Linked DNA regions of Astyanax mexicanus. The protein of the gene in region 2 interacts with the protein of the main gene of each other region in a pairwise test. Links are inferred from orthologs where the notes say so. Each region holds a gene or a part of one and is shown on either strand. Other genes may lie near its edges.

Evidence for each region. The genes of interacting proteins can lie anywhere in the genome.
Region 1: the proteins of rab2a (region 2) and tbc1d25 interact in binary tests that used the Homo sapiens proteins (3 or more experiments, as listed by UniProt). The link is inferred for Astyanax mexicanus from reciprocal best matches to the Homo sapiens genes RAB2A and TBC1D25.

The regions. Positions count from the first base shown.
Region 1 is NC_064419.1:40,392,426-40,397,907, reverse strand, and holds the start of tbc1d25 (TBC1 domain family member 25), read right to left. Parts: upstream 3,631-5,482; 5' UTR 3,477-3,630; coding exon 3,432-3,476; intron 1,077-3,431; coding exon 967-1,076; intron 1-966. UniProt on the Homo sapiens protein: Acts as a GTPase-activating protein specific for RAB33B. Involved in the regulation of autophagosome maturation, the process in which autophagosomes fuse with endosomes and lysosomes.
Region 2 is NC_064425.1:41,318,630-41,324,111, forward strand, and holds the start of rab2a (ras-related protein Rab-2A), read left to right. Parts: upstream 1-2,376; 5' UTR 2,377-2,678; coding exon 2,679-2,724; intron 2,725-5,482.

The DNA.
Region 1 (5,482 bases), on a different chromosome or scaffold from region 2:
GTGCCTCAAAGTTTACTCAGCTGGTAAGTTCAAATTCACACCATTGGCCCAAGTTAATGATTAACTTAAACTTCAGTAGATTCTGCAGTCCTTATTTAACCCATGTGCTCTGCAAAACAAAAACAGCCAGACTGTCAACTGAGGACAACATTTACTACTTTATATTATTAATATCCTAGTATATACACATTGTTCTGCCACTCCCACTTTCGAAAGCTTGATTCTTGCGCCGGTCAGTTCATTTTATATGGTACCTACTGATGTGGAAAGTAGCTATATATGCTTCAGTCTATTTAATATTATTTACAGCATAACCAGCTTTTAAAAAAAAAAAACAACACACAAAAAGATAAGTGCTGTGAGGAGCTGCCACTGTCCTCCAGAAAAAAGAAGCTGCTCCTGCTGCTAAAGGAGCTCAACATAAGTGTCTGTACCTCTGCTCAAACCATTCTGTGGAGGGAAACCCAGTTCTGAAGCTCCAGTAAAGTGGATGTGCTGGTTCTTTGTGGCTGGCGGTTAAACGGCACAGCAAGCCCGACCCACATGCTTTGCCCGTGCTTCAAATCCAAGCTATTTCTCTGGGTTAGGATGTTCTGGTGTTGGCTGGTCCTCTATTTAATGTTAACATCAAATGTTTTTGTGTCTAGATATATGTGTTACATTTAGTCCTGTCAACTACAGACATAGCTCCTCTTCTGTGGAAGATGGTGGATGGACATTAAATCAAAACTCCTATCTTTTTGTGTTGTGTTCAGAACTCTCATGCTGTTCATGTATTTTTTTCCTATTTTCACAGTTACATTCTGTTACTAACTGAGTATATTATACTACTCATGCTCTACATTTACTATCACTGTGGGTGTAACTAATACCAATGGTCTGCTGCTGCACTGGAAATTCCAATACAAATTAAACAACTAATGAGGCTAAAAGTCGACACCTTCACTTCCACCTGCACACACTCACCCATTGAGCTCAAACGCTCGTATAAGGATGTGCTGCAACACCTCCAGGGATGTAATTTGTGGATCAACTGCAAAGGAGCGAAACTCCACTGGCAGGATTCCCTCACATTTCTGTATAAAGACAAAAAGAAAGGAGCAAATCAGCAATCAGCAAAATTGTACTTTGAATTGAAAGATATTTCATAAAAATGTCCATAAATTAGGAATTGAGTAACTGATGTAAACCTGCATTAGGAAACTACAAATCTAGCTGTCAGTCAATTTGATACAATTCCAATATCGTTATGAACAATATAAAGGCCACCACGCTTGTTGTAGGCAATCAAGCACTGACAGGGGTGGGTGATACCGTAAACATATTTTATCACAATATTTAAAGACATTTTCATGATACACAGTATTTATCATATTTTGACACATAGACATAATGCATTAGCAGAGGCAGATTCAGTAGTGATTCTTATTTCATTTTTGCTGCACGTCATCCAAATTAACAGGAAGTTTATTTATACAATCTATGTAATGAAATGGACAGTTAGGTCTGTGTTATTTTAGCACTGATGATCTCCTTAATATGCTCAATAAGTTCTATGTCATAAAATTGAAATAGATCACAATAAAATCAAATATCGATATATTTTCCAGTTCTATGTCATAACATTTAAATTGATCACAATAAAACCAAATATCGATATATTGTCCAGTTCTACATCATGACAATTAAATTTATCACGATATGATAAAATATCTATATCTATATATATTGTCTAGCTCACGTCATGACAATGAAATTGATCAAAATACGATAAAATATCAAGATACTGTCCAGCTCTTTTTCATAATAATGAAACTGATCACAACATATTAAAAAAACAATATACTGTCGAGCTTTACATCATGATAATTAAACTGATTACAGTAAAACTAAATATCAATATATTGTCCAGCCTTATGTCATGATAATGAAATTAATCACAATGTGATAAAATATAGATTATATTGTCCAGCTCAATGTCATTATAATAAAACTGATCACAATATAATAAAATATCAATATATTGTACAGCTCTACCTCATGATAATGACATTGATCAAGATAGAATAAAATAAATAGAGAGTTTAGGTTGTTTTTTGATGATCACACAAAAAAGTGACAAGCTTCTACCCGTGGCTTTGTTTTTCTCCACATTTTAAGCTTATTTATTTAACGAGCTTCCCCTGAAGAGAAAAAGACAAACAGAGAAAAGCACACAACACAAGAATACTAACGTTAACTAATTAAGCTACTATTGAGTGACTAACAGAAGCCAGACAGCGGTTCATGAATAACAAACGGACCAGGTGATAAAAATGACTTGTAATATGATACCTAGGTAGATACCTAGCTAGCTAGGACATCTGACATGTTTTAAACGTAAAATACAGCATTAAAACAGATGGTAGTTAAATATTTGACCGGCTGTAGTAGGCTAGCTTAGCTAGATAGCTAGCTAGGTTACGTTAGTTGGCTAGCAACTAATAAACAGGTTGGAAATACGCTAGCTTTATTATTATTATTTTATTATTTTCTTACGTTAAGAGAGTCTAATCGGGCTAATCTGAGTTTTTTTGTGTGTGTCAGTGTTCGCGGACAGGTGGATAACATAGCTTTAGGTAATATTAGCCCAGCTGCTGCACTTCTCAGCATCTGTTATACAGTAAATACACTAGTGTTAGCGGTTAGCCGTTAGCCGCTGTGTTATTGTCCGCTCCCCGCGCTCCGGTGTTCCGTCGAGTTTTGCTACCCATCAATAGATGCTTATTTAAGGTAAAGCGCATGCGCCGTCCAACATATATATTTTTTGGAATATGTTTTCATGTTTTTCTAGATAATTCCTTAAGTTTTTATTGGGAGCATTAAACAGCCTGTTTGCATGTTACAAAACACTGTAAGTAGAAGTTAAATATAACAATAAACTAGCTGTACATTGTTGTTTTACCATGTTTAACTGCACTACCTCCAGTACACACACGAAAGTAGACTCTACTTTTATACTTTTTTTTTATTGTATTTTTACCTGCATCATTCTATCTTATCATTTTTTTTACCATCTGTGTACTATGTATACCTGCTACGTCCAGAGTTTCCCTCTGGAATCAATAAAGTATAAGTTACATCTAACTTACTTATTTATAAATAAAAAACTGTGGAAAAAACGGTTTCTAATCACGTAAATTACCTTAACTTTTTTAAATTTACCTAATACAGTGATTTAGCCTATCCACATATCCTACCTAGGCCTCTGCTAAGAGTATTTTCTATTACGGGTTCTAATATTTCTGTATTTTTAACTTAAAAAAAAGAAATACTACAAGGGTAGCACGCTTTCACAGGGTAGCACAACTATACAGAACACCGGCTCTCGGCTCTTGGCTCCCGGCTCCTGGCTCCCGGCTCCAGGTCCCCCCGCCGCCCCGGCTCCTCACCTTGACTTTGACACGAACTACCCCCCTCTCCTCCTCGACCGACATGGCGGGTAGTCCACGCTGAAACCCTCGCTCAGGAATCCTCCACCTTCATCCACAATATTAAGCTGAAACGTGGCCAAACGCCGATGTTGACTCCACTGCTCTCCCCTTCTTCTCTCTGCAGCTTTGGCAGAAAGAACGTCAACGAACGAAGCCAAGCGGGCAGATTTCACAATAAAAGCAGGTGTGAGAAAACAAAGCCTTGATTACTTTAATACCCATAATGTATTTAGAAAATAGAAGAAATGAACATAAAACAATACAATAATGAATTACATCCTTAAAAATGCATAATACAAATTATTTGTTAAGGAAAATCTTTATTTAGAAGATAAAATTGACCTCGCACCGCTAGATGGAGCCCGCGATTGAGTCCTCAATGAATGGGGTGAATTGAGAAAAACAGCAAAAAACTTAAATTAAAAATAGTAAATAACTATATTTCAATGATATTCAGTACATTTTAGAAATTATAATAAGGTACTTTAAAACCCACAAAAAACTTTACCGTTTCGTTTCTCTACAGCGAAAGGGTTTTGGGTAGAAGTGTCACTAGCATGACTGCTACTGTGAGCTGAGTGGTTGGTGAGCTGATGCTGATGCAGAAGTTACAATTATGTTAGATCCCAGAGATAAAAAGGTTTAAGCTGCAGTTAAAAAGCTTTAAAATTAATGCCTTCAGTACTGAAACATTTGCTATTGGGATCCACCCTTACATCCAATCAAATCCACCTATCCATCCATTCACCAATTCATTCATACAACCATCTATATATATGGTTGTATAGATATACAGCTCTGAAAAAAAAGAAACCACTTAAAATTGATAAGTTTCTTAGATTTTACAAATTTGAAAACCTCTTTATAATATAATCCAGAGGAAGATGGATGACCACAAGCTACCAAACCAAGCTGAACTGCTTGAATTTTTTAACCAGGAGTGGCATAAAGTGATCCAAAAGCAGTGTGTAAGACTGGTGGAGGAGAACATGTCAAAATGCATGAAAACTGCGATTAAAAGCCAGGGTTATTCCACCAAATATTGATTTCTGAAATCTTAAAACTTTTTTAATATAAGCATGTTTTCTTTGCATTATTGAGGTCTGCATCGCTTTTGTTATTTCATCCATTTCTCTTTTTCCGCAAATAAAAGCTCTAAATGACAATATTTTTATTTTGAATTTGGGAGAAATGGTGTCCGTAGTTTATAGAATAAAATACCAATGTTCATTTTATTCATATACCTATAATAGGTATGTATATTCTAAATATATACTGATAAACCTGGACTGTAAAGTGCGTAAGTGCGTATTCTCCTCTGTAGAGGTTCTCTGGCCTGGCTTGGCGTCAGCAGGCGCCAGAGAGGCACATGACATCATATGTCCATTACTTCATTTTATTTATATCTACAGTCGCAAACGATGATTTAAATAAAGGTTATATTGATTTGGAGGAAGGCTGTAATTAAGTGTTTTATAAATCATCCAGGTTTATCAGTATATATATATATATATATATATATATATATATATATATATATATATATATATATATGTAAATATAAAATAATATATACTGACGAACCTGAATTGTAAAGTGGGTATTCTCTTTTGTATATATCGTATTATGCGTATTATGATAAAACAATATTATTTTTTATGTTCAAAAGTAACGCTTACTCAGGTCTGCCGTGACCCGGATTCGAACCGGGGTTGCTGCGGCCACAACGCAGAGTACTAACCACTATACGATCACGGCGAGCTACCAGAGCACTGGAGGAGCGACCGGTGGGTTCCGCTCTAGAGCGTTTATAAAGGGACTGTCACAGACGGGTTAAACAGGATCCTGATCACTCTGATATTTAAACATTGAATAAACCTTTATTTTTTGGGTTGCATTACATCTTTTAGGGGTAATAATTGAAAAATTACATTTATACAAAGTTTATTTAACATTGATTAATAATTAACGTTATGGGTTGGTGTTAAAATTCTGACACTGAATCAACA
Region 2 (5,482 bases):
GACTTGCATCTTGCATATCATTTGTTTTATTTTAAATCCAGTGTGATGGAATGCAGGCCAAAATCACAAATTGTCATTGTCTCACTGTACAAATATGTATGCGCCTAACTGTACTGTATCGACCAAGTATACTGTGATATAAAATCTTGTGAAATAAAATTTCAATGCTGAAGTATGGGTTAAATCACACACACACACTGCTTTTGAAACAATGAACCACATCATCCTTATCTCTCAGTTAGAGAGGTGTTGGTATTCAAGGCACCCCTTTAGAATGTTTTCTGTCCTATTTGTCTGACAGAAGTTGGTGATATTGTGAAAAACTCCAGCAAAATCGAAATCACCCACCTTAGCTTCTGTAATATATTTGCATTGTACTAAAATACATTAATATTCAATGGACATATACAGTGGTATGAAAAAGTCTGGGCACCCCTGATCATTTTTATGATTTTTCTTTATAAATCATTGGTTGTTTGGATCAGCTATTTCAGTTAAATATATCATACAGCAGATGAACACAGTGATATTTGAGAAGTGAAATGAAGTTTATAGGATTTACAGAAAGTGTGCAATAATTAATTAATTAAACTAAATTAGGCAGGTGCATAAATTTGAGCATCCCAACAGAAAATTTACATCAATATTTAGTATTTACTCTTTCTATAGCTTCCAATCAGATTCTGGCTTCTGGTTAAAGGTAAGCTTTCATCCTACAAAACATGGTCTTTGTTTCTCCTAAGGTTTCTTCCTCCTAATGTAAGGGAGTTTTTCGTTGCCACTGTCACCACAATTATTGGCATTACTGTGGTGCTGCTCATAAGAGGCTTACACCAGTTTTCTCTGTAAAGCTGCTTTGTGACAACTTTTGTTGTTAAAAAAAAGGCTATATAAATAAATTTGAATTGAATTAAACATTGTTTTCAAGAATCTGCTGATATTGACTGGAATCCATGTGATCCTCAACTTTAACAATATTCCCAGTTTCTGCACTGGTCCCACAACCCCACAGCATGATGAACCACCACCAGATTTTACTGTGGGGAGCAGTAAAGTGTTTGTGTTGAAATGCTGTGTTCTTTTTCCTCCATGCATAAATAACTGCCCTCTACATAATTTATTCCAAAATGAAGCTGGCTTGCCTAAATGTGCTTTAGCTTTATCTTTACCTCAAGCGACTCTGTTTGTGGCGCAGAAAAGGCTTCTTCTGCATTTCTCTCCCATACAGCCTCTCCTTGTGTAAAGTGCACTGAATAGTGAATAGTGAACGATGCACAGTGACTCCATCTGCAGCAGGATGATGATGTAGGTGTTTGGAGCTCTGGAGGTCTGTGGGTTGTCTATCTTCTCCTCTGTTTATCTGAGATTTTTCTTGTTCTGTCACTTCAGGTCTTAACTTGAACTGTGTCTGTGGTTCTTCCATTTCCTCACTCTGTTCCTCACAGTGGAAACTGCAGCTGAAATCTCTGAGATTTGAGCTTTTTGTATCCTTACTCTAAACACCATGATGTTAAACAATATTTGAGAGTTGTGTGTTTTGAGGCTCCCATGTTGCTGCTCTTCAGAAAAGATGCAAAGAGGAGGAAAACTTGCAATTGGCTCCTTAACCCTTTCTTATAATTGGATTCACCTGTGTATGTAGGTCAAGGGTCAGTGGGCTTACCAAACACATTTTGTGTTACAATAATTAGTGCTAAAGATATTCAAATCAATAAAATGACATGGGTTTGGTTTAAATTTGGTTTAAATAATTATTGCACACTTTCTGTTAATCCTATAACTTCATTTCACTTCATATCACTGTGTTCATCTGCTATATGATATATTTAACTGAAATTGCTGTTCAGAACAACCAATGATTTATAAAGAAAAATCATGAAAACAATCAGGGGTGCCCAAACTTTTTAATACCACTGTATGCAGCTGAAACAGGGAGCCGAGTGCATCCCAAATTTATAAACTTTAACATTTTATTATAACATTAAAGTCATTATGGCTTTTAGACAAATGTGTTTTGGGGAGGAGGGGGATTAGAGCACTATAGGACTCTAGGAAGCGGCCTAAGCTTTTGTTCTTACTAGCTTTATTTTTTCCTCTTATATTACTTTTACTTTTATACTTTAAGTAGTTTTGAAAACAGTACATTTACACTTTTACTTAAATAGTAAAAAGCTTGAGTTAATACTTCAACTTCTACAGAAGTATTTTAAACCCTAGTGTCTATACTTCTACCTACGGATACTTTTCACACCTTTGTTTATCTTTAAAAATCTGACAAAAAAACAAGGTACAGGTAGTTCGTATGTGCGTGCGCGTGCTCGTGCCTGCGCTCTCCACTGCTCGTGCTCGCGCTCGCTGGTCTGCTCGCTCTCGTGCAGTTCCGGTTGCGTGGCGGAGGCGGTCTGTGTGACGCAGCAGCTGCTGGAGCTCCGGGACGCTCGGCTGTTTTTATTGTTCCTTTAATAAAAGCGACGCGCAGAGAGAAACAACAGAGCCGCAGAGATAGAGAGAATAGAGAGAGAAAAGAGAGAGAGAGAGAGAGAGAGAGAGAGAGAGAGGGATAGAGGGAGAAAAGAGGAGAAACACAGAGAGAGAAAGAGAGAGAGAGAGGAGAGCTCTGTGTTCTGCTGGAGAAAGCTGCTGCTGCTGCTGCTGCTGGGCTGTATTAGCGGAGGGCGATGGCGTACGCGTACCTGTTTAAATACATCATCATCGGGGACACGGGTAAGATCTTAACACTCCCTTACTGCCTCACTCACTCCTCTACTCACCCCTCGGATCACTCCCGGGGTGAGACATGGGCTCACAGTGGAGAAAACGGGGTGATTATTGCTCCTACTTGAGCTGTTTGCTTGTTTTTTTTTAAAACGTGTTACACCGAAAACTGCAGCTGCCGAATTGTGTGACCCTAGAGGGTGCTGTTCTGCTATATCCGAGTTCCTTACGCAGACTACGTAAGTTAGCTATTTAAAAGAGTCGGATATGCTATATTAATAACAACATGATAAAAAATTGTTGTTTAAAGAATTTTGCATCACAAGTACAAGCCAAAAAAAATTGAAAAAAAAGATTGAAAAAAATCAATACAAATAAAAGATTATTACATTAGGATTAGGATGTGATAATAAAAAATTATGCATTTAGATATAATACAAAAACGACAAGAAGACAGACGAACTAGTACAGTACTAGTCAAGCCCAAAAGTAAAATAAATATATGTTTTAAAAATGTTTAAACATATTAACTAAAGATTTTGGTATTCCAGATCTATTATAATGTTGTAAGTCACTCGTAAAGCACTTTTAAAGAATGTGACAGAAGTGCAAATTAAGCAAAAAAAGGTATAGGTTTATTAATGGATTGATTGATTGGATGATTAAATAAAAAATAAAAATATTTTATGTGAAGAATTGAGAGGAAAATCTTTTTATAACATCCACAAGAAGCAGACTATCATACTTTAAATTATATTAACAATAAAAACTAACAAAAAATAAATATTGCATTTGTATCGTTTTATCATTTTATTGGATGTTTTTATTGTTATATTTTAATTGTTGTTTTTCCTCTGTTAAAGTGCAGACAGGCTTAATCATAAGGGGTTACCGATTCTGACAGCGGCCTTTACGTGGACAGAATTCGGCAGATCACAGATTTCGGTGTAACACGTAGGTTAGAAAATTGACGTGTAGAAGGAAAAATAAGCAACCTAAATTTGGGTGGGTTACACATTTTAACAGTAAAACACGCGTTTAAACAAACTGCACGGCTGTCAGAGTGGGACATCAGTGAAAACTGGGTGAAATTAGGTGTTATTTACTGCCTGCTTTATTTCAGACTGGGTGGGGGAAGGAGTTAGCCAGCATGCTAACGTTGACTAGCGCAGTCTGTCAGATTCTGCGCTAACAGAATATAGAGAAATGTAGTATAAAAACATATACACACATCTTTAGACCCGTTTTCCTGGGTTTAAGCAGATATTTATGTGCGTGTCTGTCAGAAACTGCCTGTTTATGGCTTCGTGTGTGATGCTAAGCTAACGTTAGCACCGCTAGCTAATCGCTAGTTTAGGCCACAGTGGCAGTATTTAGCTTTAGCATTAGCTTAGCGTTAGCCTGTCTGTCAGCAGATGTGTGTGAAAATGGCGTTTAGTGAGTCTGGCTTTCAGATGTGCGGCTCAGATCTTCTCAACAGGCTTTATTTATCAGCTCAGATGATGTGGAAGTGTAGGTGAGACTCTGAGGGATGGGGAAACGCTGATTCCCCGGGTCTGACTGTGGGGAGGATCTGTAAGGAGATGCCAGGCAAGGCCCTGCCAACCTGGACTGGCACTGGTTCTCCTCACTAGGGCTGTACGATATGAGCAAAAATTCATATCCCAATACAGTACATTTCATATCCTGATATACACGATATATACTACCACTCAAAAGTGTCTTTTACCACACAAAAGTGGTTATTTTTTCTTTTCATGTTTTTTTACATTGTACATTTTTTAAGACAGTTTGAAGACTGTCAGTAAAGATATATAGGAACACATGCTGAATTAGTAGCACATTTATCTTTGAGGACAGATCTTTAATCTCAGTGTCTTCATGAGGGAGAATCACCTGGAATAGTTTTCACAGCGTCTTGAAGGAGTTCCTGGAGGTCCTGAATCTTAAGCTCAACTCAAATCACCATCTCAGATGATCAGGTTTAGAATAGGGGATTGTGGAGGACTAACACTTTTTTGCTGTTTACCATGTCATTCCGTACATGTTTTCCCTTCTTTTTATGTATTTAATATTAATCTACAATGCAGAAAACCTTGTAGAAAAAACGTAGAATAGGAGGGTGTGTCCAAAAATTTGACTGGTACTGTATATCACGATATATCACATATACTGATATAACACTCAGAAAAAAGTATGTTTTCAGATTTTATTGTATTTTTATAAAATATTTTATTGTATTTTGTATAAAATAGTGATGCACAATGGTATCAGAATTAAATCGATTTCGGATAATAATTACTTCCTCTCTTTTTATAATCGGCATCAGCCGGTTTGGCCGATATTTCAGCCCAGTATTTTTTTGTTTTTAAAAAGGTAAAAAGTTTAAGTTTAAAGCTGTGAACAGACTATGTAAGGACCAGTTAGCTAAATACATTTGAAACCCAGAAAAATGTGAAACCCAAAATATGAAAGCAAATTTTTCATTTTATTGTTTGCATTCAGTTAGATTAAGGCTACAATGCAAAGCAAATGAATGTTACGTTTGTTCCTAGAGGTATACCGGAGTGTTTAGACTGTTAATAATAAATGTGTATATCTGAATTAGTTTTGGAAGATATATACATGTGTAACATCGAATATCTGCATCTGCCCAGAATTCATACATTGTTGCATTCATATTTTCAACTACACTGAAATTGTGCATCTAAATTACAGTCAGCATCATGAGTCAAATCACTTTTATATCATTTCCCTGACCTGCACA